Callithrix jacchus: one gene and its partners. The protein of the gene in region 2 binds, or shares a complex with, the protein of the main gene of each other region. Links are inferred from orthologs where the notes say so. Each region holds a gene or a part of one and is shown on either strand. Other genes may lie near its edges.

Evidence for each region.
Region 1: the proteins of CNOT1 (region 2) and DDX6 are in contact, whole or in part, in a crystal structure (PDB 4CRW), measured with the Homo sapiens proteins. The link is inferred for Callithrix jacchus from reciprocal best matches to the Homo sapiens genes CNOT1 and DDX6. Residues at the interface, in NP_057368.3 of Homo sapiens: Glu1097, Ala1100, Phe1101, Phe1103, Asn1104, Asn1105, Leu1106, Ser1107, Ser1109, Asn1110, Lys1114, Lys1137, Arg1138, Ile1141, Glu1142, Asn1144, Phe1145, Leu1148, Tyr1149; in NP_001244120.1 of Homo sapiens: Phe329, Ser330, Arg331, Leu332, Gln333, Ile334, Asn335, Gln336, Leu357, Gly358, Tyr359, Ser360, Leu384, Arg386, Asn387, Ala402.
Region 3: the proteins of CNOT1 (region 2) and ZFP36 are in contact, whole or in part, in a crystal structure (PDB 4J8S), measured with the Homo sapiens proteins. The link is inferred for Callithrix jacchus from reciprocal best matches to the Homo sapiens genes CNOT1 and ZFP36. Residues at the interface, in NP_057368.3 of Homo sapiens: Gln821, Glu835, Asp845, Ala848, Asn849, Phe852, Gln853, Tyr856, Asn894, Glu897, Glu898, Phe901, Gln904, Tyr905, Pro906, Glu909; in NP_003398.3 of Homo sapiens: Arg314, Arg315, Leu316, Pro317, Ile318, Phe319, Arg321, Ile322, Ser323, Val324, Ser325.
Region 4: the proteins of CNOT1 (region 2) and NANOS1 are in contact, whole or in part, in a crystal structure (PDB 4CQO), measured with the Homo sapiens proteins. The link is inferred for Callithrix jacchus from reciprocal best matches to the Homo sapiens genes CNOT1 and NANOS1. Residues at the interface, in NP_057368.3 of Homo sapiens: Ile2327, Ile2330, Lys2331, Trp2338, Glu2350, Phe2353, Gln2354, Val2356, Ala2357, Met2361; in NP_955631.1 of Homo sapiens: Phe40, Ser41, Ser42, Trp43, Tyr46, Leu47, Leu49, Thr51.
Region 5: the proteins of CNOT1 (region 2) and CNOT9 are in contact, whole or in part, in a crystal structure (PDB 4CRU), measured with the Homo sapiens proteins. The link is inferred for Callithrix jacchus from reciprocal best matches to the Homo sapiens genes CNOT1 and CNOT9. Residues at the interface, in NP_057368.3 of Homo sapiens: Ile1415, Ala1416, Thr1418, Thr1419, Gln1422, Ile1423, Lys1426, Asp1427, Phe1428, Met1444, Asn1447, Leu1448, Gly1451, Met1452, Met1454, Ile1455, Arg1458, Glu1459, Tyr1548, Gln1549, Arg1552, Met1553, Pro1554, Gln1556, Ile1557, Leu1559, Val1564, Lys1567, Gln1568, Leu1569; in NP_005435.1 of Homo sapiens: Arg19, Glu20, Tyr23, Ile26, Asn27, Ser30, Ser31, Pro32, Arg35, Pro54, Met55, Trp57, His58, Ser59, Phe60, Gly61, Ile63, Ala64, Ala65, Leu67, Gln68, Val71, Asn72, Tyr74, Pro75, Ser76, Ile77, Asn78, Pro79, Thr81.

Annotation. Positions count from the first base shown.
Region 1 is NC_133511.1:18,400,716-18,404,884, reverse strand, and holds part of DDX6 (putative ATP-dependent RNA helicase DDX6), read left to right. Parts: intron 1-234; coding exon 235-329; intron 330-2,824; coding exon 2,825-2,947; intron 2,948-4,169.
Region 2 is NC_133521.1:16,470,174-16,474,936, reverse strand, and holds the start of CNOT1 (CCR4-NOT transcription complex subunit 1), read left to right. Parts: upstream 1-1,419; 5' UTR 1,420-1,518; intron 1,519-4,763.
Region 3 is NC_133523.1:34,892,452-34,897,187, forward strand, and holds ZFP36 (mRNA decay activator protein ZFP36), read left to right. Parts: upstream 1-1,507; 5' UTR 1,508-1,546; coding exon 1,547-1,588; intron 1,589-2,385; coding exon 2,386-3,342; 3' UTR 3,343-4,045; downstream 4,046-4,736. Other genes in the region: uncharacterized protein LOC144580767, read right to left, coding at 4,151-4,520. UniProt on the Homo sapiens protein: Zinc-finger RNA-binding protein that destabilizes several cytoplasmic AU-rich element (ARE)-containing mRNA transcripts by promoting their poly(A) tail removal or deadenylation, and hence provide a mechanism for attenuating protein synthesis.
Region 4 is NC_133513.1:111,982,474-111,987,321, forward strand, and holds the start of NANOS1 (nanos homolog 1), read left to right. Parts: upstream 1-1,820; 5' UTR 1,821-1,908; coding exon 1,909-2,790; 3' UTR 2,791-4,848. UniProt on the Homo sapiens protein: May act as a translational repressor which regulates translation of specific mRNAs by forming a complex with PUM2 that associates with the 3'-UTR of mRNA targets. Capable of interfering with the proadhesive and anti-invasive functions of E-cadherin.
Region 5 is NC_133507.1:140,331,911-140,336,079, forward strand, and holds part of CNOT9 (CCR4-NOT transcription complex subunit 9), read left to right. Parts: intron 1-2,016; coding exon 2,017-2,109; intron 2,110-2,761; coding exon 2,762-2,860; intron 2,861-3,072; coding exon 3,073-3,164; intron 3,165-3,342; coding exon 3,343-3,622; 3' UTR 3,623-4,169. UniProt on the Homo sapiens protein: Component of the CCR4-NOT complex which is one of the major cellular mRNA deadenylases and is linked to various cellular processes including bulk mRNA degradation, miRNA-mediated repression, translational repression during translational initiation and general transcription regulation.

The DNA of each region.
Region 1 (4,169 bases), on a different chromosome or scaffold from region 2:
TGTGCTGCATAACAGTGTTTTGATCAGTGACAGACTGCATGTATGTTGGTGGTCCCATGAGATTATAATGGAGCTATGCAGTGGAGTAAGCGATACCATCTAGGTTTCTCACATAGCAATGCATTTCTCAGAATTAATCATTAAGCAACTCAGGACTATATGGTAAACCTTTACATTATCCCTTTTGCCAAAATTAAAATTAATGAGAATATATGTTTTCTAAATCTTGTGTAGTGCACGTGGTGATTGCTACCCCTGGGAGAATCCTGGATCTTATTAAGAAAGGAGTAGCAAAGGTTGATCATGTCCAGATGATAGTATTGGATGAGGTAATGTCTCTACATTTGGCATTATACTATTCTGTTCTTTTCTGTGCTTTGCTTATAACTGCCAGCGAATGAAGCAAAAGCTGGTCGTGTTTATAATCTAATAAACATGTAAATAGTCAGTTTAAATTAGTTTGCTTATAAAATGTGTTTTACCCATCAGAGGCAGTAGATTATAGGCATTCATTGGGATTCAGCATTTTGTCTCTTTCTTAGAGATGCCAGAAGTTAGGTTTTATTTTAATTTTTAAGGAATGGCTGAATAACCTCAAAGCCAAGTTAATTCTAAGTCTCTATCTACTCAGTGATTTTTTAAAAGCATGTAATATATATTCTCCCTTCTCATTTTGTGCATACTACTTGGTATTGTTTGGTTTTTGGTCTCTGTTTATCCCACCATGTTGTAAATGTCTTTTTAAGAACTTAATAAAATCTATAGTCCTGCGATGTAGCCATGTTTTGTGCAGGTGCAGATTGTCCTTAACTTATGATGGTTCCCTTTACAGTTTTTCAGTGAAAGTGATATGCTTTCATTAGGAACTGTACTTTGAATTTTTAAGTTTGATATTTTTTCTCATTAGTAATATACTGCAAACTGCAGCTCCCAGTCAGCCACATGATCATTAAGGGTAGACAGCCAATACACTACGGTATACAGTGTTGTCAGGTGATTTTGCCCACCTGTTAGCTAAGGTAAGTGGATGTCTACATAATGTAGTAACTACCTTAATTAGCATGTTTAAGGGAGGCTGGGCTAAGTGATGATGATCAGTTGGTTTAGGCAATATTTTCAACTTAGGTTGAGTTTATCAGAACATAATCCCATTGTAAGTCAAGGAGCATTCGTATTATATCAGTGTTGTTAATATTTTGACGTGAGGTATTTTTCACATTTGGTTTGTGTTTTATGATTATTATTATTTTGAGACAGAGACTCACTTTGTCACCCAGATTATAGTGGAATGATTTCGGCTCACTGCAACCTCTGCCTCCCGGCTTCAGGTGATTCTCATGCCTCAGCCTCCTGAGTAGCTGAGATTACAAATGTGTACCACGACACTCAGCTAATTTTTGTATTTTTAGTAGAGTTGAGGGTTTCACTATGTTGGCCAGGCTGGTCTTGACCTCCTGACCTCAGGTGATTCTTCTGCCTCCCCCTCCACCTCCTGAAGTGCTAGGGTTACAGCTGTGAGCCACCAGCCTGGCCGGGTTTGTGTTTTAGGTAACATGATTTAATTCAAATCAAGCTTTTGTCTTTAAGTAATGAGAGATAACATTTATTAATCACTGTGTACCAGCACTAAGTGCTTTACATGTTTTTTAATTTAATTTTTATACAACAAACCTATAAGGTAGGTATGCTGTAAAGTAGTTACTACAGTATATAGACATCCAAATTTTAATTTGCTTATAAAATATGTTTTATACTTCAGATACAGTAGATAGGCATTCATAGGAATTCAGCTTTTTGTCTTTTTCTTACAGATGCTGGAGTTTAAGTTTAATTTTTAAGCAGAGGAGTGGCTGAATAAACTGAAGGCCAAGTTTTTTCTAAGTCTCTATAAAGTAGTTACTACATTATGTAGACATCCAAATTTTAGTTTTCTAATTTTACAGTTGTAGAACTAAAGTACATTCTGTAACATTCCCACACAGCTAAGAAATGAAGGAGGCAAGATTTGAACCTGGCAGTTTAGCTCCAGAACCTGTACTTTTTCTTTTTTTTTTTTTTTTCTGAGACGGAGTCTCACTCTGTCGCCCAGGCTGGAGTGCAATGTCACGATCTCGGCTCACTGCAACTTCTGCTTCCCAGGTTCAAGTGATTCTCCTGCCTTAGCCTCCCAGGTAGCAACGGGTGTGTGCCACCATGCACAGCCAAGTTTTGTATTTTTAGTACAGACAGGGCTTCACCGTATCAGCCAGGCTGGTCTTAAACTCTTCACTTCAGGTGATTCGCCTTCCTTGGCCTCCCAAAGTGCTAGGATTACAAGCATGAGCCACCATGCCCAGCCTCGGAAGCTATACTTTGAAACACTATACCATGTTACTTCCTTAATGAGAATCATCACATTTAAATTCTGTTGTGGAGCTGGGGACAGAGGTATATGCCTGTAGTCCTAGCTACTCAGTAGATTGAGGCAAGAGGATCACTTGAACCCAGGACGTGCAGACTGAAGTGAGCTGTGATTGTGCCACTACACTCCAGCCTGGGTGACAGTGAAATGCTGTCTCTAGAAATAAATTAATTAATTAAATTCTGTTTCAGAAGGCAGGGTTTTATCTGCAGTGTAGATTGTTTTTTCACTAGAAGATAGGGATTATAGATTTTGCCCCTGTCTGAATATTTGACTGCAGTGCGGGAGAGAATTTATTGTATTCAACCAGAAACATTTCATGATGCTTTTGTTGGGTGATGCCTTATTCTTTGAGCATGTATTAACCCAAGTCCTTAGAGATTATTTTATTGTTTTTAAAATTGTCTTTTCTTTATGCTGCAGGCAGATAAGTTGCTGTCACAGGATTTTGTGCAGATAATGGAGGATATTATTCTCACGCTACCTAAAAACAGGCAGATTTTACTATATTCCGCTACTTTCCCTCTTAGTGTACAGAAGTTCATGGTGAGTATAAATCTGTACTTGGAATCAATACCATCCTGTGGCCTATGAATATGCTTTATTTGCAGTTACATCTTCCTATCTGTGAATATGGTTTATGCTAATTATTTCAAGCCTTTGGCTTTTTCTTCAGTTGATCAATTAAAGATTTCTCGTATATAAATTAACTGACTTTTTTTTTATACACAAATGCTGAAACATCTGTCTTACAATTTGATTAGGGTACTTAATTAGTATCTGCATTGGCCACCAGTCATCATCAGCCATGCGATCTAAAAACCACTCACAAGCTGCCTATTATTAAACTGTTTGGTTAACAGTTCAATCCACTGAAGCATTGTGGGCTTTTCTTTTGAATGAATAAATGTCTCTAGGACAAAGGAAGTGCTTAACTTTGCTATCATTAGGGACACAGCTTTAGGATCTGGTAATGTACTGGGAAAATTAACTGACTTTTTAAGAAAGCTGTAATAGGCCGGGTGCGAAGGCTCACACCTATAATCCCAGCACTTTGGGAGGCCTAGGCGGGTGGATCATGAGGTCAAGAGATCGAGATCGTCCTGGTCAACATGGTGAAACCCTATCTCTACTAAAAATCCAAAACATTAGCTGGGCATGGTGGCGCGTGCCTGTAATCCCAGCTACTCAGGAGGCTGAGGCAGGAGAATTGCTTGAACCCAGGAGGCGGAGGTTGCCATGAGCTAAGATCACGCTATTGCACTCCAGCCTGGGTAACGAGTGAAACTTCATCTCAAAAAAAAAAAAAGAAAGAAAGTTGTAATAGTGGCTGGGTGAGGTGGCTCACGCCTGTAATCCTAGCACTTTGGGAGGCCGAAGTGGGTGGATCACCTGAGGTCAGGAGTTCAAGACTAGCCTGGCCATCATGGTGAAACCACATCTTTAAAAAATAATAATAATTTTTTAAAAAAGAAAGTTATAATAGTAACTTGATTAAATTCCTCATCTTTCACTTAGTTTTTGGTGTCAAGATGACATAGTCATTGGTGCTAGGTGACTTGATTACAGTGTTCTATATACAAAACAGAGATTATGAGTGTCCTAAACTGAAATCCAAAATGTCAGAATTTGAAACCTTTTGAGCCACCAATATGATGCTGAAAGGAAATGTTCTTTGGATTTTGAATTTTCAAATTAAGGATGCTCAGTCAGTAAGTATAATGCACATATTCCAAACTTAGAGAAAATTTAAAACCTGAAACACTTC
Region 2 (4,763 bases):
CTCCTGGGTTCAGGGAATTCTCCTGCCTCAGCCTCCTGAGTAGCTGGAATTACAGGCAGGCACCATCATGCCCAGCTAATTTTTTGTATTTTTAGTAGAGACGGGGTTTCACCATGTTGACCAGGATGGTCTCGATCTCTTGACCTTGTGAACCACCCGCCTCGGCCTCCCAAAGTGCTGGGATTACAGGCGTGAGTCACTGCGCCCGGCAAATTTCATGTTTTTTACCATCATTTTTTTTTTTTTTTCAGTATATATTTTTTTTTTTTCAGTATTTTTTTTGGCACAAGAGGTAATATGAGACAGATGGCCAGGCGATCACCTGCTAAGCCTAGCCTGAGAGCAGGGGTGAGCAGGGGATAGGTTTTAATTTCAAAAGGTAATAGAGTTAACCAGTCAACACTTCCTTCCAGTCCTTTCTCTTTTGGGTACAGGTGAGCATAAAATCTTACCAATTATCATAGTTAACAAACAAACCATAGCAAAATATGTCTCTATGCTTTTCCACTTGAGAGCAAAGGACATGGGTATCCTTTCTTAGACGGCTCCTAGGACTTAAGCCAGGAAGAACACTTGTGTTTCCTTCAATAGGCAGAATTAAAAGAGAAAATTCCCTTGACGAAAGCGAAGCAAGCGAGGACCAGGTGGCCACCTGTGTGACTACATCCCCCAGCATGTACTGCTCCTTCTAGGGCGCAGCCAGTGACGGAAGAAGACGCGGTACTTCTCCGATGAGAACAGGGTAGGGAAGCGCGACTACATATCCCAGGATGCAAGGCGCCCCAACTCTAGTCACTATCTGACTTGCTTTCTGGCTGGTGTTCCCCGCCAAAGGGACACTAGGGGGGCGGAATGTTTCGGTTGGTACTCCCCGAAGTCTACTGGACTGTGACATTTCGAAAGAGAAAGGAAAGTGGAGGAAGGCTGTTTCACTGTAACTCAAAGTAGTTCCTGCACAAAGTGGCGAGGAGCTATGGGTCCTTTCCATAATTTATTGTTCCTCAAAGGCAATGCCAAGCGCCACTGGTCGCAGCCCTCCAGGGCAGGTAGGAAGTCCATGAAGCCCCAAATCGAAGTTATCAGCGTCTCTCTATTGGCCCTCGCCTCGAGCGCAGGCGCGAGGGCTCCGACTCAGGTCCCCTGGGCCTGGTGAGCGGCAATTGGCTACAGTCCACGAAGTAGAAGTCTGGATTGGTAGTTGCTAGCAAAAGCCTGGTTTCTTCCTCGACTTCTGCAAGTGATAGAGTGTGATTGGTTTAAATCCGCGGGTAGCTGTCGGTGATTGGGCGGGAGCCACAGGCGGGGCGCGGCCATTGGCTGGCGCTGGGACCATCCCTCCTCGGGCGGGCAGCGAATGATGAAATGGGAACGGGGAGGGGAAAGGCCGCGACGTGAGCGCGCGACCTCCGGCGCCATTTTGTCGAGAAACAAGCGGAGTTAACCGAAGAGGGGGTTGAGGAGAGCTGGAGTCGGGGACCCAGGAGTTTCCTGTGTTCAGCGCTGCTGGAGCCGTCTGAGGTGAGGCGGGCTGGCGTCAGGGCCTGGGGTACGGTGGCGGTGTTAGCTTGGGGACGCCAGTGCCAGTGGGAGGAGGAACAGGGGTGCACCTGGGGCCACTGGAAGCGTTTCCCGGAGCTCCGGGGAGTGAGAGGCAGCCGGGACGGGCAAGTGGGGCGAGGCGGGAGACGGCTCTCGGAGGCTTCGCGCTCTGAAGATGAGGCCAGCGAGAAGGCTCTAGGAAGCGGAGGGTAGAGCGCGGGATGAGACCCGGGGTGGCCTCTGTCCCGGGCCTGGAGGCTCAGGGGGCGGCAGTGGCGGCAGTTGGTGTCGCTGGGCCTGGCTTCGCGCGGGTTGCATCCTCCTGAAACCCCCCCACGACCTCCTCAACTACTCTTTCTCACTCTGCACCCGGATGGGTGCAGTGGGCATCGGCTCCCGAGGCCTAGCGCTTCGGATGGGGGGAACGGTGTTTGGAGTTTTTGCACGTTTCCAGTTTTTCTCAGTGTGCTCGGAGCTGCCACTCTTCCCCCTCTTACGCCCCCTGCACATTGTCAAAGCCCCCCATGTTTCGGGTGTCCCCGGATGGGAAGGGCGGGCGGGAGCGAGCACTTCCTTATTACTTGCCACAGGTTTTGTTCCACTAGCGCGCCCGGGCGCTCACACTTTCTTTGAAGTCGGCCCCCACCTGCTCGGTCCGGTGTCTGCAATAGTGGCGGTCCTGTTCACCCAAGACAAGTGTCCCGCTAGTGAGCTGAGCACTCATAGGCCTGAAGGCTGACGAGAGATCCTCTGCAGGTCTTGTAGAGGTACTTAAGGCCAAAGACAAATAATACTTTTTTCAGTACCACCCTCTGCAGAATTCACCCAACAGGGCTCACAGATACTAACTCCGCAAGGAGTAAACTTTGTAGATGAAAAAAGAATGCTTGATATCTGTGCATTTGAAAATGTTATATTTAAAATAAACTTTATGACAAACTTTTCCCCTAAAGTTAAATGTCACGTTTCTTAGGACTGTAATAAATTAAAGGCAGTTTTCTTCCTGAAAACTGAGTAACAATAGTTAATCTCCCTGCCTGTTCCTCGACAATTTGATCGCCTGTGACTACTTGGATTTTTTTTTTAAGTGTATAATTGAGTAAATACAAGTAAACTTTTTGAAAAAAATGCTGAGCGTTTTCCTTATGACAGTCCCTTTGATAGGAATAGGGAATACATGGATTAAGAAACTGAGGGAGGGCAAGTAAAATATTAGGAAGAAGATCAAACAGATTAAGAACAAATTTTCTTTTTCTTTTTTTCGAGACGGAGTTTCGCTGTTGTTACCCAGACTGGAGTGCAATGGCACGATCTTGGCTCACCGCAACCTCCACCTTCTGGGTTCGAGCAATTCTCCTGCCGCAGCCTCTCGAGTAGCTGGGACTACAGGCGTGCACCACCATGCCCAGCTAATTTTTGTATTTTTAGTAGAGACAGGGTTTCACCTTGTTGACCAGGATAGTCTTGATCTCTTGACCTCGTGATCCACCCGTCTTGGCCTCCCAAAGTGCTGGGATTATAGGCGTGAGCCACCGCGCCCGGCCTCAAATTTTATTTTTCTAGAGGTACTTGGATTTAATAGTTAAGTGGTCTGTGGTCCAGGTTTGTATTCCTACCCAACAGAGGATTTTAGCTATTAAGAAGGTAGGTTGTAACAGTTTAAATAATTACGTTTTAGGACACTGCGAATTGTTACCTTGTCTAAGGAGAAAACACATTGATGATACATGGTTTTAGGTGGCTAGCTGTGCTTTGACTGAAATGATGACATGTTGATAAAACTTGTTTGGAGAGTTGGTCCCTTTTCAACAAATATGGGTCTTCTGAGTCTTAGTGGAAATAAGTCTAGAATTGATTGGGTGCTGTGGCTCATGCCTGTAATCCCAGCACTTTGGGAGGATGAGGTGGGTGGATCACCTGAGGTCAGGAGGTCGAGACCAGCCTGGCCAACATGGTGAAACTTCATCTCTACTAAAAATACAAAAACTGGCCAGGCGCAGTGGCTCACGCCTATAATCCCAGCACTTTGGGAGGCCAAGACGGGTGGATCACGAGGTCAAGAGATCGAGACCATCTTGGTCAACGAGGTGAAACCCTGTCTCTACTAAAAATACAAAAATTAGCTGGGCATGGTGGTGCACACCTGTAGTCCCAGCTACTAGGGAGGCTGAGGCAGGAGAATTGTTTGAACCCAGAAGGTGGAGGTTGCGGTGAGCCAAGATCGTGCCGTTGCACTCCAGTCTGGGTAACAACAGTGAAATTCTGTCTAACAAAAAAAAAAAAAAAAAAAAAAAAAAAAAGATCAAGACCATCCTGGTCAACATGGTGAAACCCCGTCTCCACTAAAAATACAAAAATTAGCTGGGCATGGTGGCGCATGCCTGTAGTCCCAGTTACTCGGGAGGCTGAGGCAGGAGAATTGCTTGAACCCAGGAGACAGAGGTTGCAGTGAGCTGAGATCGTGCCATTGCACTCCAGCCTGGGTAACGAGCAAAACTCTGTCTCAAAAAAAGAAAAAAGGAAAAAAAAAAATACAAAAATTACCTGGGTGTGGTGGCAGGCACCAGGAGGTTGAGGCAGGAGAATTGCTTCAACCCCAGAGGTGGAGGTTGTGGCCAGCTGAGATTGCACCACTGTACTCCAGTCTGGGTGTAAGAGTGAGACTCCGTCGTCCCCCCCCCCCCCCGCCAAAAAAAAAAAGGCTGGACGTGATGGCTCACACCTATAATCTCAGCACTTTGGGAGGTCGAGGCAGGCTTATCACCTGAGGTCAGGAGTTCAGGACTAGCCTGACCAACATGGTGAAACCTTTTCTTGGGGGAAAAAAAAAAAGAAAACCGGGAGCTGTGGCTCACGCCTATAATCCCAGCACTTTGGGAGGCCGAGGCAGGCTTATCACCTGAGGTCAGGAGTTCAAGACTAGCCTGACCAACATGGTGAAACCCTTTCTTGGGGAAAAAAAAAAAGAAAACCGGGAGCTGTGGCTCACGCCTATAATCCCAGCATTTTGGGAGGGGTGGGGGTGGGGAAGGATCAAGAGGTCAAGACCATCCTAGCCAACAGGGTGAGATCCCCCTCTGCTAAAAATACAAAAATTAGCTGGGCATGGTGGCTATACTCCTGTTCCTGTAGTCCCAGCTACTCTGGAGGCTGAGGCAGGAGAATCGCTTGAACCGGGGAGATGGAGGTTGCAGTGAGCCAAGATTGCGCTACTGCACTCCAGC
Region 3 (4,736 bases), on a different chromosome or scaffold from region 2:
GCCTGCCCCCTCCCCCTGCCCAGTAGTGGGACCACAGATGTGCACCACACCCAGCTAATTTTGTGTATGTTTTGTAGAAATCGGGATTCGCTATGTAGCCCAGGCTGGTCTCTAACTCCTGAGCCCTGGTGATCCTCCCACCTCCGACACCCACAGTGCTGGGGCTACAGGTGTGAGCCAGGCGGAAGAGTAACTTGACTATGGTTTCCTCCTGCATTAAATGGGCACATCACCTGGCTTGTTAGGGTTACTGCACATACTTAAAGCACTTAGAACAATGATCAGCCCAGAAGAACAGATTATCTGCCTGAAAGTGAAGGGCTAGAGGCGCCCTGTTAATTGGGAAAGGAGGCCCCTTTTCAGCTTCACCAGGTGTCCTGGACCCCAACCCACTCACTCACTCACCCAATCCCAGCAAGTGGTGATCGGGAGGGCGGTCCCAGCCTCCTTATCTGTCTGGGCTTTTTGGGAGTGAGACCACCCAAGGCAGGCAGTTCTTGGAGAATTCTTCTCCAAGGCCTGCTGGTTCTTTCCTGGGGCTTTGTTCTACAGATTTCTTTCTTTAAGTGCTTGTTTCTCATAGTCTTTCTCCTTTTGTGTCCAGTCTTTCCTTCCTTCTTTATTTTTCTCAATGACAACAGGTGTCATCTTTTTTTTTTTTTTTTTAATAATACATTTTATAGAGATGGGATCTCGCTGTTGCCCAAGCTGACTTCAAACTCCTGATCTCAGATAATCCACCTGCCTCACCCTCTCAAATTGCTGGGATTGGCAGAGTTTGGCGGCTCACAACTGTAATTCCAGCTGTTTGGGAGGCCGCGGTGGGAGGATCACTAGAGCTCAGGAGCCCGAGATCGGCCTGAGCAACACAGAAAGAGAGAGAGAGAGAGAGAAAGAAAGAAAAACACAAAAAGTGCTGTGATCACAGGCGTGAGCCACTCGTTCAGCCCCTTTCGGTTTGTTTCTGTGATTCTCCCAACCCTCTTCTCCCTCTGAATCTGTCTCTGGGACTTTCTCTCTCTCCCCACCTTCCCTCCCCTCCTCACCCTCTCTATCCTTCTCTGGGTCTCTGTTGATGTTTTTCTCTCTGCCTCTCTCCCTGTCTGTCTGTACCCCTCTGCGTGTCTCTCGTCGCCCCCGTTCTTCTGTGTCGCACGCACACGCCCCATCGGGCCTCTGCCCTTGTCAATTGCCCCTGGAGCCCTGCCCCCACCTCCGTCCCAGTTCCCTTCTACAAGCCTCAGTCTCCAGCTCTGAAAACTCGGCAGGCGCCCCGCCATCCGCACCCCCACCTCGACTCCCACCCCTGCCCCACGCACTCCCCGCCCGGTCGCGGCTGTCCACCGGCCAAACTCAGGCGCGTCCTGGCCCAGGGCCGGGCGGAAGGGAACCAGTCCAGGGCCAGCCAGGCTGCGCCAGGGGCGCGCGTCCGGGAAGCGCCCCTCCTGCCCCGCCCCCGGCCCCGCCCCAAGCCGTCTATAAGACTCTGGCTCTCCCTGCCAGCCTCAGCCTGACTTCAGCGCTCCCACACTTGGCCGACTTCCTCATGGCCAACCGCTACACCATGGATCTCACCGCCATCTACGAGGTGAGTCCCCGCCACTCGGCACCTGCACGCCTGACTCCCAGCTCTCTAGAGCTGCAAGCTCCGGCCCGGGACTGGAGCTTGCCTCCCTTCTCCAACTGGGGCCCCCTAGTGCGCCAGTTCGGCGCCCCTGCCTTCTACTCTCAAGACCCGCTTGGTGATTTGGAGGTGAAATGGAGCTCTGGTCTCCCGGGTCTTGGCTCAAACATGGGTGGGGCGGCCCGGGAAAGTGGAAAGTCGGAGAACTTTTCTCACACCGAGGCTGCCTGGAGGCGGAAGTGGCCCCCATACCTGGCTCATCCCTAGTGGTTGCTGAGGGCGTGGTTTTGCGCGGAGGCGTGTCTGGGGCTGAAGTCTTAGGGTGGGGGGATCCGACTTACGTCTCTCCAGTCCCTGACCGTAGTTCTCTGAAAACCCTAAAACCAAAGCGATCCGGACTCCTGGGTCAACTTTGCCCGGTTCCTCCAGTTGTGAAACTGGAGATCCCGACGTGTGGGTCATATCCGGGGAGGTCCAGAGACTCAAAATTGGGAAACAGGGGTGCGCTCTGACTTCGGGGACCCCTCTTGGTCCAGCCGGTGAAACAGGAATTCCTGGGTCCCTCGGGATAATGCCTCGGTCGGGGGTAAACTCGGAATCTCCAAATCTGGGTTCCTGGCATCTGGAACCTGGGAGTTTCTGCGAGCGGGTGGGGCTCAGGCCGGGAGCCCACAAACCGGCCTGGCAAGCTCTTGATCCCTGCAGCTGGGGTGGGGCGTCGCCCTGCATATTCGGGTGCCTTAACCGACCCATTTCCGCAGAGCCTCCTGTCGCTGAACGCTGATGCGCCCGTGCCATCTGACCACGGAGAGACTGAGTCCAGCCCAGGCTGGGGCTCCTCGGGACTCTGGAGCCTGAGCCCCTCTGACTCCAGCCCGTCTGGGGTCATCTCTCGCCTGCCTGGCCGCTCCACCAGCCTGGTGGAGGGCCGCAGCTTTGGCTGGGTGCCCCCACCCCCTGGCTTCGCACCGCTGGCTCCCCACCTGGGCCCCGAGCTGTCACCCTCACCCACCTCGCCCACAGCCACCCCCACCACCTCCTCCCGCTACAAGACTGAGCTGTGTCGGACCTTCTCAGAGAGTGGGCGCTGCCGCTATGGGGCCAAATGCCAGTTTGCCCATGGCCTGGGCGAGCTGCGCCAAGCCAATCGCCACCCCAAGTACAAGACGGAACTCTGCCACAAGTTCTACCTCCAGGGCCGCTGCCCCTACGGCTCTCGCTGCCACTTCATCCACAACCCCAGCGAAGACCTGGCAGCCCCGGGCCACCCTCCTGTGCTTCGCCAGAGCATCAGTTTCTCTGGCCTGCCCTCCGGCCGCCGGACCTCACCACCACCGCCAGGCCTGGCTGGCCCTTCCCTGTCCTGCTCCTTCTCGCCCTCCAGCTCCCCGCCACCACCTGGGGACCTTCCACTGTCACCCTCTGCCTTCTCTGCTGCCCCTGGTACCCCTGTGGCTCGAAGAGACCCCACCCCGGTCTGTTGCCCCTCCTGCCGAAGGGCCACCCCTATGAGCGTCTGGGGGGGGGCCTTGGGTGGCCTGGTTCGAAGCCCCTCTGTACAATCCCTGGGATCTGACCCTGATGAATACGCCAGCAGCGGCAGCAGCTTGGGGGGCTCTGACTCTCCAGTCTTCGAGGCGGGGATTTTTGCACCACCCCAGCCCACGGCAGCCCCCCGGCGACTCCCCATTTTCAATCGCATCTCTGTTTCTGAATGACAAGTGACTCTGCCCCGCCAGATCAGTTGGATCTCACGGGGGAAGCCACATCTCTTGCACTGTGGTCTTTGCATGGACCCAGGGCTGTGGAGACTTGGGGGACAGTAATCAAGTAACCCCCTTTTCCAGAATGCATTAACCCACTCCCCTGACCTCAAGCTGGGGCAGGTCCCCAAGTGTGCAAGCTCAGTATTCATAGTGGGGGATGGAGTGTCTTCTGAGGTTCTTAAAAAAAAATGTAGCATATTTAAGGGAGGCAATGAACCCTCTCCCCACCTCTTCCCTGCGCAAATCTGTCTCCTGGAATCTTACGTGCTGTGAATAATAGGCCTTCTCTGCCCCTCCAGTTTTTAGAGATCTGAGGTTCCAGAGTCTCCTGGTAACTGGAACCTCCCCTGAGGGGGATCCTGGTGCTCAAATTACCCTCCAAAAGCAAGTAGCCAAAGCTGATGCCAAACCCTACCCATGAATCAGTGGGTCTTTATTTATGACGACTTTATTTATTCTAATATGATTTTATAGTATTTATATATATTGGGTCGTCTGCTTCCCTCGTATTTTTCTTCCTCTTTTTTTGTAATATTGGAAACGACGGTATAATTATTATAAGTAGACTATAATATATTTAGTAATATATATTGTTACCTTAAAAGTCTATTTTTGTGTTTTTGAAAATTTTTAAATAAACGGAATCTGCGTGTAAGCTGGGATCCTCGCTTCTTCGCGGTCTAGAGACAAGAATGGGGAGGGAAGGGGTTGACTTTTTGGAACCAGTCAGCTCTGCTCCTCCCAGCCCCGCGGCGCTTACCTGGCAGGAAGTGACGTCACCAGGCCTGGCCGTTCACCTGAAAGGGTGTGACCAGGTGAGGTCACCAGATGAGAACTGGGGGAGCCAGTTCCCGGGCGTCGGGGCACCGCGCTCCGGTCTTGCCGAACTCCTTGACCCAGCTCTCCGGCGGGCGCGCGCGAGCGGGTACGGGATGTTTCCGTCCCCACCGGGCCGCGGGAGGCGGGAGGGGCCGGGTGGAGAGGACGGAATGTGCTGGGGCGCGCGCCCAGGGCGAGCGGGGGCGGGCGCGGGGCGGGGCAGCCTGGGGTAACGGAACCCGTTTCGGGACTCGGGGTTCCTGGGGGGCTTCGACGCCTTTGGGATGTTGGGAGGAAGCGGGTTTTAGGGTCTCAAGAGTCTAGGATCTCTACATTTAGGAGTCTCAGGTTGAGTCCCCTGGCGCTTTAGACTCTGGAACCCTGGTGGCTCGGAGTTGCGGGTTTCTGGCCACCCGGGACCCTGGAGCCCAGGAATTACCAGATCTTGGTATTTCCGAACCTTGGAGGCCCGAGGCCTCGGACACCCACCGTGGTTGGCCCCGCGAGGCCAGGGTGTGTGGGTAATA
Region 4 (4,848 bases), on a different chromosome or scaffold from region 2:
GGACTTCAGGTTGGGTACAGTGGCTCACATTAGTAATCCCAGCACTTTGGGAGGCCAAGGCAGGAGGCCAGGAGTTCAAGACCAGACTGGGCAACATAGTGAGTCCGTCTATTAAAAAAAAAAAAAAGGCAAGGAAAGATCTAACAGAATAATCCCAAAGATCCCTTCCCATGCTGACATTCTGATTCCCTCACTCACTCACTCTAATATTAACCAATGCCAGCACCAGGTTCTGGGCATCACCTGCTGGGCCATTCTAAATGTGCTGGGCACAGCCAAGACATGTGAGTGTGGCCTCAGGCCTAGTGAGGGCTCACTGTTTCCTCAGCCACTGCATGGTCCAGAATGGGGAAGGAAACCCCCACCCGCCCCATGCAGCCCACCCTGCCACAGCCCATCTACCAGGGAAGGCATTTTCCTGATCCCAGTTCTAGGTTTCATCCTAGAAGAGCCCTCAACATCTAAAGCCTTTCCTACTTTCAATTTTTTAAAAAGCTGGAAAGGATAAGACCACCTGTCATCTTCCTAATCAAAACTCATCTTCTGGCTCTTATTCTCCATGGCTTTTACACAACATGTTTTATTCATTTGAAAGTGTTTAATTATAACGTTGAGGCCAGGTGTGGTGGCTCATGTTTGTAATCCTAGCACTTTGGGAGGCCAAGGCAGGAAGATCGCTTGAGGCCAGGTGTTCAACACCAGCCTAGGCAACATAGTGAGACCCTGTCTCAAAAAAAAAAAAAAAAAAAAAAAAAAAACAAGGCAAGAAGAAAAAAAAAAGAGAGAAAAAGAAAGGAAGGAGACAAAACAGAACATTGATTACATGTTTTTTCAAAGTGCACATACAACCCACATTTTTACCCAGGCCTCTGGGGCAAGGGGGTACACACACACACACACACCCCAATCACTGTCCTGGGCTCTCCAGCCATGAGATTTTCTGACCCAGCCCAACCCCGACCTAAGTCACCGTGTTGTGGCGACCCATTAGCTGAGGTTCCTGAGCACTTGTTGGGAGGAAGGCTGCTGGGAAAAGTCCTGCGTCCCTCCGCTCTTACCACAGCAGGAACCACAGCCTCCCCGAACCTCAGGGTTTGTGTGGATTTCGCACAGGAGAAAGCGTTCCAACGCGCGGTGCAAACGGAAGCCACTGGCTGGTTGGGCGGGCTGTGATGGGAAAGCTGCATCCTTCCATCGCGTCCAGCTTTTCTTGCTGATGTTGGTGAGAAGGGGGTGGACAGCGGGGATTCTCAGGATGCGGGCCTGGGGCCATTAAAGGCTGGGAGACGGGGGCGTGAACCTGTGGCCACCCTGACCCCGTCTTCGGTGGGCCTCACTACCAGGCCGAGGAGACCCAGGCCTGGTCACTTGCTCCAATCACAGGCCTAGCGCTCAGACGAAGCCGGCCCCGGCAGCCGCCCCTCCCCGGCGCTCTCCCCTACTTTCTCCTCACCTCCCAGGGACGTAAAGAGCACGCCCCCCTCCCCAGACCCCACCAATCAGCATCCGGAGCGGCGCCCGAGGCGCCGGGTCTATGGTCGGCAGCCAATGAGCGCCGCGGCCCGAGGCGGCGCCTCACCCGCCCCCTCCCGGAATGAAGGCCGCCCGGCAGCTGGCGAGGCTGGCGCAGCGCACGGGGCGCGGGAGCCGCGCGGGCCGGAGCGGAGCGCGCTCACAGTCCGCCCGCCTCCGCTCCGCCTCCGTCCAGGGCGCGGGCGAGGTGGCCGGGGCGGGGGAGCGCAGGGGGCAGGGCCGCGGCGGCGAGGCCGGGGGGCGGGGAGGAGCAGGTCCGATAAAAATCGGCTCGGCGGCCCCACCCCGCGGCAGGCAGGCGGGCAGGCTTGGCGCGTGTCTTCCGTCCGGCCCGCGCCGGCGGCGGGGAGGCGGCGCGCGGCCCGCAGCCAGCCCATGGAGGCTTTCCCCTGGTCGCCCCGCCGCGGCCGCGCCCCCGCGCCCATGGCGCTCGTGCCCAGCGCCCGCTACGTGAGCGCCCCGGGCCCGGCGCATCCGCAGCCCTTCAGCTCCTGGAACGACTACCTGGGGCTCGCCACGCTCATCACCAAGGCGGTGGACGGCGAGCCGCGCTTCGGCTACGCCCGCGGTGGGAACGGCGGCGGCGGCTCCCCGCCCTCCTCCTCCCACTCGTCCTGCTGCTCCCCACACGGGGGAGCCGGGCCCGGGGCGCTGGAGCCAGCGCTGGGACCGCCCGACTACGACGAAGACGACGACGACGACAGCGACGAGCCGGGGTCCCGGGGCCGCTACCTGGGGGGCGCGCTGGAGCTGCGCGCACTGGAGCTCTGCACTGGCCCCGCCGAGGCCGGGCTGCTGGAGGAGCGCTTCGCCGAGCTGAGCCCGTTCGCGGGTCGCGCTGCCGCCGTGCTGCTGGGCTGTGCGCCCGCCGCCGCCACCGCCACCGCCACCACCACCACCACCGGCGAGGCGACGCCGCGCGAAGAGCGGGCCCCGGCGTGGGCGGCAGAGCCCCGGCTGCACGCGGCCTCCGGGGCGGCGGCCTCCCGGCTGCTGAAGCCGGAGCTGCAGGTGTGCGTGTTCTGCCGGAACAACAAGGAGGCGATGGCGCTCTACACCACCCACATCCTCAAGGGCCCCGACGGGCGAGTGCTGTGCCCTGTGCTGCGCCGCTACACGTGTCCCCTCTGCGGCGCCAGCGGCGACAACGCGCACACCATCAAGTACTGCCCCCTCTCCAAAGTGCCGCCGCCGCCGCCCGCCCGCCCGCCGCCCCGCAGCGCCAGGGACTGCCCACCCGGTAAGAAGCTGCGCTGAGGACCCTGGCTCTCGGCTCCCCAGGGTCGCTACTGCCGCCCCTCGAACCGCTCGGTCTGCGCAGCATCTCGCCCCTGGCTCAGCAGTCAGCTCGACTTGGGACGTCGTCCTGGTTTCTCAAAAGCAGCGACCGTGTGGAGTACTTTCGTGCGGAGCGGTTGGGACTAGACGCTGAAATTCCCGTTTGTCTTCAGTTTCTAGTTTGCACATCCAGAACGGCGAAGGCTGGGTGTGTATTCCACTAACTGAAATATGGCAACATAGAGGCGCTGTTTATTTACTGTATACGTCGACCTATTTTAGATGCGCGTCAGTATGAAATTGTCTCAATCTAATCTTGGATGTTTCATTTTATGAATGGAGGCACTTTACTAGGTCTAGAATATTTTTTTAAAAGCCTCTGAACTGAGCTTAAAACTGGCGATTTTATGAAATGTCGGCAAAGTGACTATTTTATTGTTTGAAGCGAGTAATACTCTTAGTTGTCCTTAAAAATCAGTTACTCTAATTCCAGATGAAGCAAGCCCCTGGTAGCATCACCCTTATGAGAAGTGAAGGTTTTGTAAACTTTCCAGTATTAATTTGGGCGGGTATTCCCTCCTTGTGGCTTGTTTCTGTCCTAGCTGGAGGTGTAAGATGCACAGTCTGTAGCAGGTAGAATACAGCTCCTTATCATTTTATGTACCAGATCTTTTATTACTGAACTAGCAACTAGCCTTTTCCACCTTTAAAAGTTGTGCCAAGTCGTAATCATATTGTGTATAACTTGGAAATGGTGCTGTTTAAAAAACTTGTGTATTTATACAGTAACAGTATGAATTCATTAATCTCACCTGTAACTTTCCTACTTGGCCTTTTCTCTACACACTCACTTCTTGAAAAACGTTTATATTACGATCAAAGGGAGGAAGACAAGACACCAGTATTAATTCACCCTGGATTGCTCAGTTTCAGGGTTCCTAGTGGAGGAAAGCCCATTCCAGCTGTTGCCTCTCAAATAGAAGATGGATCTCTAGCTCTGACCTGTTCGTGTTATCAACTCGTATTCAAGAAGGTTCGACCGTGGGCTGCGTCTGACCTTAAGAATACAGGCAGTGCTCAAACTAGAATAAGCACTAATTAAAGCAATTGTTGGAGGTCCTTCATGTTGCCATTCCTACTGGAAGACCCACGTCCATTTCCGGAACCCCACCAGTTACCCATAAAACTAAACCTGATCCTTAGGCAACAGTTCCTAACCCCTACTTTACCCTCCCACCCTCAACTTTAAATCCGCCATACTGAATGCCACACTGGAATGCAGCCAGTGTGGCTGCCAATCAAGACAGATGTAGAAGGCAAAAATAAGTGAATTAAGATGAACTCATCTGAAATGCATCACTATTTGAAGATACCAGCACGAAATTCAGTGTTACGTGTATTACGCTCCCAGCAGGAGGATTTAGCTAGACAATTAGACTGCTTTCACATTCCACAGCTAACTTCCTCCACAGCAAATTGGCTCAATCAGGAACCTTCATTTGAAGGTGTGTTTAGAGGGTGGGGAAAATACTGGACAGCTGTCTTTTTGGGCAAAGGTGCATATCAAGAATCCCGGGGCGGGTAGGGGAAAAGCAATTTCTTAGCCAGGAAAGAGAAAATCCAACCCTGCTAGTCTTCCCAGACTAGAGAACTGCAGATCTGATTGGGCCTGAATTAAGTAGCTTAATGAAACTGTAATCATCCTTTTACTAGAAAATATAACAATTTAAATGAGCTTCACTTTCTGGGTGAAGTTTCTAAGGTCAACACGAATCCTACCTCTCCCACTGCTCCAGTTCTGCCTTTTCAAAGGACCACTATAAACAGATCAATCCATTACTCTAGGCCAAAAGGGCTAGGCAGGTGGCAAGATCAACTAAGCTATTTTGTATTTTTAAGAGTCAAATTATAGACGGTCTGTGAGGCTGTGAAGTTACTGTGACGAGATGTGCCTAATGTTAATTTCACATTCTGACACCATTATTACTATTTTACCAGAACTAAGAACACGTTGAGCTGGAGTTTCCTGAGGGCAGG
Region 5 (4,169 bases), on a different chromosome or scaffold from region 2:
ATGCCTGCTCCACCACACTCAGCTAATTATTTTTATTTATTTATTTTTTTAAAGATGGGGTTTCACCATGATGGCCAGGCTGGTCTTGAACTCCTGACCTCAGGTGATCCACCCACCTCAGCCTCCCAAAGGGCTAGGATTACATGTGTGAGCCACCACGCCCGGCTATTTTTATTTTTTGTAGAGGCAGGGTCTTCATGTTGCCAAGGCTATTCTTTGAACTCCTGGGCTCAAAGGATCTTCCTGCCTTCTGCCATAGTACTAGGAGTACAAGCATGAGCCACTGTGGCTGGCCAATTTATTGTTTCTAAAGAGATGAGGTCCCACTATGGTTCCCAGGTTGGAATGCAGTGGCTATTCACAGGCATGATCATAGCACACTATAGCCTTGAATTCCTGGGCAGTCTTCCCACTTTATTCTCTCGAGTAGGTAGCTGTGATACTGGCATACATCCCTATACCTGGCTGTTTTAAAATTTTTTATTTTAAATGTACAATATATGAATGACTCTCAAAAGTACTGTTGAGCAAAAGAAGCCAGACACATAGGAATTCATACTGTATGTTGATTATGTGAAGAGAAAGCAAAGCCAATTACTGGCAATAAGTTGGATTCATGATTACCTCTGAGGGAAGGACATTGACTGGAGAAAGGTACAAGGGAATGCTGGAATCCTGAGTTGGTAGAAATATTATTTTTTTCTTTTTGAAACAGTCTCACTCTTTCACCTAGGCTGGAGTGAAATCACATGATCTTGGCTCACTGCAACATCCATCTCCCAGGTTCAAGCAATTCTTGTGCCTTAGCCTCCTGAGTAGCTGGGACTACAGGTGCGCACCACCATACCAAACAAATTTTTTGTATTTTTAGTAGAGATGGGCTTTTGCCATGTAGCCCAGGCTAGTCTTGAACTCCTAAGCTCAAGCAATCCGCCTGCCTCTACCTCCCAAATATTCTGTATTTTAATCTGGTTATAGTACAAAATGTGTACAGAGGTAAAAATTCATCAAGGTACACTTAATATTAGTACACTTAACACACTTCTTTGTATATGTTTATATTAAGTTCCTATATAAGCTCCTGCTATAACAAATTACCACAAGGTAGAAGCTTAGTGGCTTAAAACAATACAAGTTTACTGTTTCACAATTTTGGAAGTCCCAAGTTCTAAATGAGTTTCACTAACCTAAAGTCAAAGTGTCAGGAGGGTCATTCTTTCTCTGGAGAATATAAAGGAGAGTCGTTTTCTTGCCTTTTCCAGCTTCTAGAACTGCATTTCTTAAATTCCCTGGATTATGGTCCCATCCCTCCATCCCCCACCATCTTCAGAGCCAGCAGTGTGGCATGTTCAAATCTCTCTCTGCTTATCATATTGCTTTCTCCTTTGTGGTAAAATCTCTCTCTACATCTCTCTCTTTTTTTTTTTTCAAGAGATGGGGTCTTGCCTGTCACCCAGGCTGGAGTGCAGTGTCATGATCATAACTCAATGCATCCTTGAATTTCTGGCCTCAAGCAGTCTTCCCATCTTGGCCTCCCAAAGTGCGGGGATTACCTGCATGGGCCACTTTGCCTGACCTTCTCTACATCTCTGTTAAGGATACTTGTGGTTACATTTAAGGCCTACTTGGATAAACCAGGATAATCCCCCATCTTGAGATCCTTAACTTAATCATCTGCAAAGTCCGCTTTTTGGTTTAAGATAACATTTGCAGAGTTTGGTGATTAGGGCCTGGATATCTTTGAGAGCCATTATTCAGCCTACTACAGTGTTTTAACCCCAATAAAATAGTAAATTAATTCCACAATTCATTCTGATGAGCAGCCAAGAAAGAGTATTGTATCATGATTGTCTGATTTGAATGAAATTAATGTCTTAATATCTCTTCTATGTAAGAGTTAATAAGTTTAAGTTGAGGGGAAAATTGAGGCTAGTTATTAGCTTCACAGTCAGGATATTTTTTATTACTATCGGAATAATCGAAGAGAAGCTTAAAAATGTTACTACTTCTGGCCAGGCGCGGTGGCTTACACCTATAATCCCATCACTTTGGGAGGCCGAGGCGGGTGGATCACGAGGTCAAGAGATCGAGAACATCCTGGTCAACAAGGTGAAACCCGGTCTCTACTAAAAATACAAAAATTAGCTGGGCATGGTGGCGCTCGCCTGTAGTCCCGGCTACTTGGGAGGCTGAGGCAGGAGATTTGCTTGAACCCAGGAGGCGGAGGTTGCGGTGAGCCGAGATCGTGCCATTGCACTCCAGTCTGGGTAACAAAAGCGAAACTCCGTCGGTGGTGGTGGTGGGGGCGGGGGACGACTTACTTCTTAAAGGTCTTTTTTTTTTTTTTTTTTTTTTTAAGACGGGATTTCACCATGTTGGTCAGGCCAGTCTTGAACTCCCGACCTCAGATGATCTGCCCACCTTGGCCTCCAAAGTGCTTGGATTACAGGCGTGAGCCACCACGCCTGGCTTTAAAGATCTTTTAAGAACAGGAAAGGTCTTACCTCATCTGGAAGAGATGAGGCATAGCTGAATTGATTATAAAAAGATAAAAGCATGTAAAGCCTCTTGAAAAAAAACTGGCACAAAGTTATGTTCACTATGACAATATTTATTATTTGTACTATACGTATATTTTAAAGTTGTATATAACATACAAGGATCCCTGCTTGCTCAATTTTCCGATTGATAATCATGCCTGGGGCAATGAGAAGATAAATCTGAGCAACTTTATAAACTCTTCGATTTTATTTTGCTTCAGGTTGCCACATTCATCCTCCAGAAGATCTTGTTAGATGACACTGGTTTGGCTTATATATGTCAGACATATGAGCGTTTCTCCCATGTTGCCATGATCTTGGTGAGTTCTTTGATCTATCCCTTTTACAAGTACTTCTCATCACACAGTTTAATCTCTTTATAACTGGCACTGAACAACTCCAGTCTTCTGACTAGAAGTAATAATTTTGGAACCTTGTATGATTCTTGGACTATCTGATTTCTGATGTCAATTAGAATTTTTTGTGTTTTGTGTGTTTTTTCCAACCCCTCCCTTTATTTGGGGGGAAACAGGGTAAGATGGTCCTGCAGTTGTCCAAAGAACCTTCTGCCCGTCTGCTGAAGCATGTAGTGAGATGTTACCTTCGACTCTCAGATAACCCCAGGTAAACATTTAGTGGCTGTATAGGACTTTTTTAGTGAAATACTCTGCTGAACAGTTTCCCAATCCCTTGGCATAATTCCTGTGTCTTTAGGAGAGGGAAGGGGGGATATAAATATAACTACTACATTTAGTTTGTCTAAGACAGAACTTAGATTTCTTTTTTTTTTTTTTTTTTTGAGACGGAGTTTCACTATTGTTACCCAGACTGGAGTGCAATGGCACTATCTTGGCTCTCCGCAACCTCCACCTCCTGGGTTCAAGCAATTCTCCTGCCTCAGCCTCCCGAGTAGCTGGGACTACAGGCATGCACCACCATGCACAGCTAATTTTTGTATTTTTAGTAGAGACGGGGTTTCACCTTGTGACCAGGATGGTCTTGATCTCTTGACCTCGTGGTCCACCCACCTCAGCCTCCCAAAGTGCTGGTATTATAGGCGTGAGCCACCGCGCCCAGCCTAGAACTTAGATTTCTTTTAAAATCTGAAATGCTGAATTTTAAAAGCCATCAGAGTTTTATCTTCTCACTGTAACTCTCAATGCTACTGTGAAATTCCAGAGTAGGCAATTTCCAGGGAAGCCTTATGATGCATTACTCTTGTTGTTTGAACTTTCTGTTGCTACTCTACATGGTCAGAAAGAGAAGTATATTTTCAAAGATCTCTTAGAAAGGAATACAGCCCAGGGGGCTCTTGAATTCTATTTCCAGTTATCTCCTTGATTCCTATAAGTTTCTTGAGCTAATGATTTTATCTGCTTATGTTCATAATCTTTCTGCCAGAAATCATACATTGTAGATATAATGCATTTTAGAAATATTTGACCTTTTGCTTTGTAAGTCCATAATTCATCCTGAAAGCAACTTGCTCATATTCTGCTAAACCACATAATGGAGCAATTTCTGTGTTCTAGGAACAGAGCTAGTCTGATTTAATGTGAACTCAGTCTCCTGCCACTGAGTTTATTCCAGCCCTACCTGTTTGTTGACCATTTTGTCCTGTTCTTCAGT